2 linked regions of the Danio rerio genome follow. The main gene of each other region encodes a partner of the protein of the gene in region 2 in a complex. Links are inferred from orthologs where the notes say so. Each region holds a gene or a part of one and is shown on either strand. Other genes may lie near its edges.

What was found.
Region 1: the proteins of naa50 (region 2) and naa15b are in contact, whole or in part, in a cryo-EM structure (PDB 6PPL), measured with the Homo sapiens proteins. The link is inferred for Danio rerio from reciprocal best matches to the Homo sapiens genes NAA50 and NAA15. Residues at the interface, in NP_079422.1 of Homo sapiens: Arg5, His14, Asn15, Lys17, Gln18, Arg21, Leu22, Val25, Phe51, Asn52, Ile54, Ala55, Leu80, Pro82, Tyr83, Leu86; in NP_476516.1 of Homo sapiens: Pro369, Pro370, Thr371, Leu374, Ser403, Thr404, Pro405, Thr406, Leu407, Ile408, Phe411, Glu433, Ala436, Leu437, Asp438, Thr439, Ala440.

The regions. Positions count from the first base shown.
Region 1 is NC_133176.1:43,721,098-43,724,616, forward strand, and holds part of naa15b (N-alpha-acetyltransferase 15, NatA auxiliary subunit b), read left to right. Parts: intron 1-8; coding exon 9-113; intron 114-1,306; coding exon 1,307-1,464; intron 1,465-2,788; coding exon 2,789-2,923; intron 2,924-3,519. UniProt on the Homo sapiens protein: Auxillary subunit of N-terminal acetyltransferase complexes which display alpha (N-terminal) acetyltransferase (NAT) activity. The NAT activity may be important for vascular, hematopoietic and neuronal growth and development.
Region 2 is NC_133199.1:25,053,967-25,058,016, forward strand, and holds the start of naa50 (N-alpha-acetyltransferase 50), read left to right. Parts: upstream 1-1,249; 5' UTR 1,250-1,368; coding exon 1,369-1,376; intron 1,377-3,411; coding exon of another isoform or gene 3,412-3,414; coding exon 3,415-3,548; intron 3,549-4,050. UniProt on the Homo sapiens protein: N-alpha-acetyltransferase that acetylates the N-terminus of proteins that retain their initiating methionine. Has a broad substrate specificity: able to acetylate the initiator methionine of most peptides, except for those with a proline in second position.

The DNA.
Region 1 (3,519 bases), on a different chromosome or scaffold from region 2:
CATTGTAGAGACGCTGGCGATGAAGGGCTTGACGCTAAACTGCCTGGGGAAGAAAGAAGAAGCCTATGAACTAGTCCGCCGAGGGCTCCGAAATGACCTGAAGAGCCACGTCTGTATCCTTGGAGCTTGAGACCATTACACGCTTATGAATGCTTTCAGTTTGATATTTAAATGCATTAACCCATCAGTATTCAGAACAGAGTGTGGTAATGGTCCATGTGTTGGAATGAGTTTGTTTCCTCATGTTCACAGCACCAGAATTAACACTCGTCTCAGTTTGAAGCCTGTCGCTGGCGGTGGGATGCTGGATGTCCGCCAAGATTCCTGCCCTGTGTCTGACCATGATGCGCAGTGACACCATGAACTGTTTGGAGAGCTAAACACATAGTGCAGTGTTTCCTCGCTGACAGCCAAATGCTTCACATCCCAGAGGTTCATGTTAGACACAGAAAATTACCATTTTATAATAGAATAGGCCACTTCAGGACTTTAATATGTTGTTTTATTGGCTTTCTGTGTTTTCAGAATACCAAAAAATGAACAAGCAGACCCTGTACTTTCCATTGAGCCATCCAATGTTTAAAGATTTTAAACCTATTATAGTATTTCATAGGATTAGTAAATGGCAAAAAGAATAGTATTAAACAACAAACTATATGACATTAATCCTGTTCTGTGGGTAAAATTGGCATTTGTATTTTCAGTGATGATCACGGTTATGCCATATAAAAGCAGGGTTAAATGAGGTAGAATTGCAAGTTATTGATTTAGTTAAAGTTATTGATTTCACAATTTTATTAATCCTCTTCACAAGTCCAACATCTCACACATTTTGTGAAATTGTTCTAGTTCTTTTAAAGAGATTATATCACCATACACCATCATTTCCTTCTTTTGTTGAGTACAAAACAAGATATTCTGAAGAATGTTCTATTAAAAGCAGGAGTTGACATATAGTGTTTACAAAAATACTATTAAAGTCAACATTTTCCCAACAACCGTTATTTTGTTTGTTAGGGAAAAAACTTTAGTTTAATTAGAAAATGTAGCCAAGATACTGTCAGCTTAAACGGTATATTATATTTTTATGAATTTAGATGCCACTTTATTATTATATCAAACGTAAGCCAATTAAATTTGGCAACATATTATGACCCCCCCCCCTGCTTAGTGTGCAGGTTAAAAAAACAAAACATCTCAGACCTTGTGAATTTTCTCTGGGCTCAATTCTGGACTGACATCAGTCCTCTAGTGTTGAATTCTGTCCTTGCAATGTTTTTTGCTTTCCTTAACATGACATTTTCAGGTTGGCATGTGTATGGCCTGCTCCAAAGGTCTGACAAGAAGTACGACGAGGCTATTAAGTGTTACAGAAATGCACTGAAATGGGACAAAGACAACTTGCAGATCCTTCGAGATCTGTCTCTGCTGCAGATCCAGATGAGAGACCTGGAGGGTTACAGGGTGAGTGTGTGTGTGTTTCCTCACTACCTTTTTGTGTTTGTGTAATTGCATTTAGCTTTGCCAGCACAGAAAAAAAATGTTTTAAAAGTCTAGGAACTGAAATGATTTAATGTTGGGGTTAATAATAATAATAAGTTGTAAAATACACACAGCGTTGGTGGACATGAAAGACTTCTATCTAAAGCAGTGGTCCCCAACCACTGGGCTGCGGACCGGTACCGGTCCGTGGAACAATTGGTACCAGGCCACATAAGAAATAATAAATCATTTCTGTAGAAAATATTCCCCCCGCGACTTGGTTTCTTCCACTCACCCCCGCCATCTCACGTGAAATGGACTATGCCAAAATCCAACACGGAGCGCGAAGAATGATCGCTAGAATATATCTCAGGGGTTGTTGTAGATAGTTTAAAGTTATAAAACCGGTATTATAGAGTCCAAATCAGCAGACCATTTAAGGATTGTGCATATATGTGTGCGTGCATCTCTAAGTGAGTACCCGAAATCATTACAATATGTATCTATATGGAGTTTCACATAATCATTCTCATTAGGGCTGTAACATGCCAATGCATACATTTAATTCAGCTATACGATTGTATTATTGTTAATATGTTCGTCAGATGAAATGTTTGGCACAGATGTTATTTATTTGATGCATATAAATCTTGATTGTAACATAATTGCAACTAGCGCATGCGCACTGAATTGTTCATGATTAAACTGGATGCACCAGAGCAGCAGCTGTGTTTACGTGAAGACCCCCCCGGCCCACACCGGTCCGTTGTAAAATTGACAACCGTTGACCGGTCTGTGGTGATTAAAAGGTTGGGGACCACTGATCTAAAGCGTATACAATCTTACCAACCTTAAACTTTTGAACAGCAGTGCATTTTTTATTGTTGGACTATGTTTTACGTGCTTTAATATGCAACTATACTAAAGTATCAGGTTAATAGATTCATTGCATTAGAGAGCCCAGTTTTGCACAACGTAAAGGTAAAAAAAACAAATACAGGTCAAGTACAGGGCAGTGACTCAGCAATGTCCTTTTCCTGTCTTTTGTTTCTTTGTCTTGTACACTGTGATAAAGTTGCTGTTTAATGTTTCATGCCTTCCGGCGACTCTGATACCTGCTTCTACCACTGAAATGAAAACCTTTTAGATTTGAGCTTTGTGCAGTCTGGCTTCACTGTTTTCTGTAGTTTTAAACCCTACTTTAATGCATTGATTTGAAAGGGATCCTGTTTCTTCTCTGCATTCAGCAAAGCATAAACCTTTTTAATGGGAATGTCAGAGTGTCATTGTTTAAACTGTCTTGCAGGAGACGCGGTATCAGCTGCTGCAGTTGCGTCCTGCCCAGCGGGCGTCGTGGATTGGTTATGCCATCGCGTATCATCTCTTAGAAGACTATGAAATGGCTGCCAAAATCATTGAGGAGTTTAGAAAAACACAACAGGTAAATACAGGCAGAACTGGTCTATAAAGTAAGTCTGTAGTTATTTTTCATTGGCTGTCAAAATTAGGGTTGATGTCAACCAATTTAGCATCGTACGATGTCAAATGTAAAATATCACTATGGACGATGGCATCTTTGTCGTAGGCGGCGGTGAATTAATTATTTATGAATAATTAATTAGTTCATAACGAATTAAATATTTGTAGCCTATTGTTTGTAACTACCTGACACACAAATTACCTGTTACTAGTTACACACAAATTACCACCTGTCAATCACTTTTTTCTGCGAATGAGTAGGCAGAGTGATCTGTGTTTTAATGGTGCCGACAAACTTGGTTTATTAAAAAGGTCCCTTGATAAACTGTCTGACGTGCACTGCTCTGTGTTGTTTTGTGTTCAAAGCACCCTCTGACTGCCTGGAGCTCAGACGTGCTTATATGCTAGAGTGCTTGACAGTGTGTGTGTGTGTGTGTGTGTGTGTGTGGTCACATGATGGCCAATTTTTAGCTGTATAGTGTGGAAGGAGGGCTTTTCAGAAATGCTAGATGAAACGCCAGTGTGGACGTTTTTGTTATAAAATGCCATTTTAGAATG
Region 2 (4,050 bases):
GTCAGAGGAAACCCAGGCGAACATGGAGAGGACATGTAAACCCCACACACAAATCCCAACTGGCTCAACTGGGACTCGAACCAAGAAGAAGCCACCCCTACCTTTAAACTGACTATTGTAATTGTATTGTAATTGACAAAACACATGTTTACCTGACAAGCAGTGATGGAAAGAGTACTGAACATCATACTCAAGCATAAGTACTGTTATTTGCCAAAATAATGCAGTGCAAGACACTTGTAAATGTATCTGTTTTCTAAATACCACTCGATGTGTGAGTAAAAGTAGCCTTTCTAAAAGTACTCAAGAAGAGTAGTGATTAGGCTATCGCATACTATGCTGTGATTAATAAATTATTTTACCTTACACCCTTCAAACTAAAAATGTAACTTTCGTTGGTGGCATTTTCTTTTAAGGGTGTTTCTACGTGTAAGTAGACAGTCATGGACTATACATTTAAAATGTCAGATTAATTTAATTTTAGAACACATTAAATGAATATATGCACCTATAATAAGTCAACAGATTGCAGCAAGTTGATGCATTTATATGTGGAGTGAAATCTGTGTAACCTAAGGGGCAAAATCTTGCTGTAATAAGCAAATAAAGGAATTTTTAACAGTGTAATTTTGAACACGGTATTGTGAGTTTAAATATAAGTTTGAAATACAAGCCAACACAAACTCAAAACAATAAAACCTGGTCTGGTTTCACAAACAGGGAGAAGATAAATGTTTTATTCCAAGGACAACACTTTTATTTATTTTACAAAATATTCTTGTATTAGATCACGTCCATGAAATATGTTTTTATTTTTTTTTAAATCCTTCTAAGTCTTTAGAGAAGGAGATTATACAACATTTTATTTGGATTAAAACAATAAGACTTGTATTATTAAGTCACAAAAACGCAATTTCCCGTTTTTTTTCTATTTCCTGTTGCTAGTTGTCAGTGGTGAAGGTTGACAGCAGCAGCCTCCCAGAATTCAAGGTTGCCAAATCAACCATCAGTAACCACCGACTAATTACTTATGTATAGTCGTAAATGCCTATTTCGGGGTTCAATCTCAACTCATATGACATAATTTATATCTATAAATGAACATTATCGATAAATCAACTATAAAAAACAACTAAAATATCGTTTTCCTAATTCACAATCTGATCTAAGTTATATGTGTTGGTTTAATAGGAAAGACTTGGCAACCTTCGGCCACAGCACAGAGGCAAATGCGGACTGCTTAGCTTGTGTGCTAGCAACATACATGTGGAGGGGATCACATCCCAAACTCTGCCCAAATTTCCCTTTAGACTGCCAAATACCGCCAACTGCCCCTGTATCCCTCACAACAAACGTGTTTTCTTCAACATGAAAGGGTGAGTAGACGACAGAGAAGGCTCTATTCCTCTCAAGTAAAGTTTTCCCCTCTCTATTCTCTTTTTTCCAGCAGGGGGGCAGTGGAGTTGCTCTAATGCTAGCTGTTAGCTCTCTGCGCGCTTAATGTGGAGAAGAGACATTTGCGCCGCGTTTTTACACCTAGTTTTACCTTAATCTTTTCCCAAAATCTCCAGAAAATAGCTTAAAAGTGCCTCATGTAATCTAGCACCAGATTAAATCTTATGCCAGTACAAACGGCACGAGTGAAGTCCGTGCCAAACTGGATCGTGTGTCGAATCTAAATCCGAAAATGTTGAGTCAGTCTTCAAGTTGCTATCTTGGTTAGCAAGCCAATCTGAAACCTCTCCCAAATGGGCGCCCAGATGGATCGTTACATTTAATAGCAGTGTATTAAAGCTTGTTGCTGTCATGTTGGGGTTAATGTGAGATTATTTTGATGTAAGAATTGAAATGTGACACACGTGATGGAGTGAGCTTAGCCGCATAGCATGTCCTCTTTGAAAATGACAGAACAAGTTCATACGGTCTTAAAACACTTTATGAAGGACGATTCTTTAACGTTTGATGGATGAAACGATGCATAAATATGTCTAATATGCTACGTTAAGCTCACTGTAGTGGTTTGCTGTGACCATGTGTGTAGAATAAAGAAAAGTCAGCGATATTTAAATTTTTATTCTAAATCCAATTCTGTTTTATATCATAAAATATTTCATATTTTAAAGTTTTGAATTCACATCTGTAAAAAAGTGGTACCCAGCCCTGTTCCTGGAAGGCCTCCAGCAGTACACATTTATCCGACACACCCATTAAGAGTCTCTGCTATGGAGCTGAAGGGAATCAGGTGTTTCACTAGAAAAAAACATACTAAATGTATTTTTAAGGGGCCCTTCATGAACAGAAGTGGTGCACCATTGCTTTAAAAGTCTGCAATATCATCTGAAACGTATTTACTCTCATCGCTTTACCAAGCATTGGTAAACTTTATTATCTAACTTGTTTTAATCAGTGGACTTTGATTTCAAGACCGTGTATAGTAGTATAGGCATTTGTTCTGTGATCATAAGTTCTGTAAACTCTATTTAGTGTGTATGTTTTTCTCCTGTCAACTCATGCTGGTTGTTCAGTGGCAGTGGTGAACATGTGACCAGCAGCTGTTGTTGGTGTTGGGCTTCAGTTTGCTGCCTCCCTATAAATACCTGCTTTTTGCACTGCTGGTTTACGGTGATCATAGTTATACAAGAAATGTGTAGTTTTGTGGGTGCACCTTTAGGGTATCTCTCTCTCACACACACCCACACACACGAAAGATAAATGAGGATGTGCTGATACTAAGTTATTATAGGGGTAGTTCACCCCCCCCACCCCCACCCCCCCCCCCACCCCCCCCCAAATACAATTTTCTCACCATTTATTCGATCTAAGGTGTTTCCAAACTTTTACAAATTTTTTTCTTCAGTTGAACACAAATGATGTCGGAAAAAAGAAACCAAATTTAAATTAATGGCTGTTTTTTTCCTATCATTTTTCAGTATATCTTCCTTTGTTCAACAGAAGAAACTCAAACAGGTTTGACATAAGTGGACTATGAGGAAACAATGACAAAGTTATAATTTTTAGGTGAACTATCGCTTAAATACAATACAAATTTTAATATAAAATAAATGAAATACTCTGTTGCATTCAACTATAGAAGTAATTTAAGTATTACACCATTAAATGTGATTAAATAGTGAAGATCATGTATACATTATTAATTTTACTGTTCCTGAAGTTCAATGAGCACAAATGACAATGATGTATAAATCTAATATTAGGTAAAAATGGATATCCATAGACGCTTTGTATGCAGCAGAATCAACTGATAACTGATATTGTACTAATATCTTGGGCTTTTCTAATAGTAAAGCTGTAATATTGTCATTTATGTGGACTGTTTGCTGACCTGACATGTAAAGAAAAGGACATTGTTTGTCAGTTCACAGCTAGTTGACCATTCTGCTTTTGTTCTAGTAGCCGGATCGAGTTGGGGGATGTTACACCCCACAACATTAAACAATTGAAGCGTCTGAATCAAGTGATCTTCCCTGTCAGCTACAACGACAAGTTCTACAAAGATGTTCTTGAAGTGGGAGAGCTTGCCAAGCTAGGTATGTAACAACGCTGATGCAAAACACTTACATTTGAATTCACTTCACTTCACAACAAAGCCGTAACTCAACTGTTCAGGACATAATAAGAACTGAAATATTTTGTGTAGTATTTTTTCGAATAAAAAAATTCTAAAGTCTATATATTGTCAAGACCAAATAAATTAAAATAAACTGAAGCTAGCAGTGAGTGTAAAAACAAAATACAAATATTTTATCCTTTACTGTCAAACAAAATGCGTGCAAGCTTTTCATTTTTTGATAGCTTTACATTAATGGCATTTTATAAGTCAGTTTGGAACATAAGTCACCGTAAATCTCAGATAATAATAAAAATATTGTAATTCTGTAAGTCTTTTTTTAGGGCCTTGTGATTAATCAAAATGAAATGGAGATTGCAATTCATCAAAGGCTGTGATTGTCATGCACATCCTGTCAGTGAAATTTGACTCTGTGATCACTAGTAATTCTCCTCAGAAGGCCAGAGGGTGCACATCTGCCG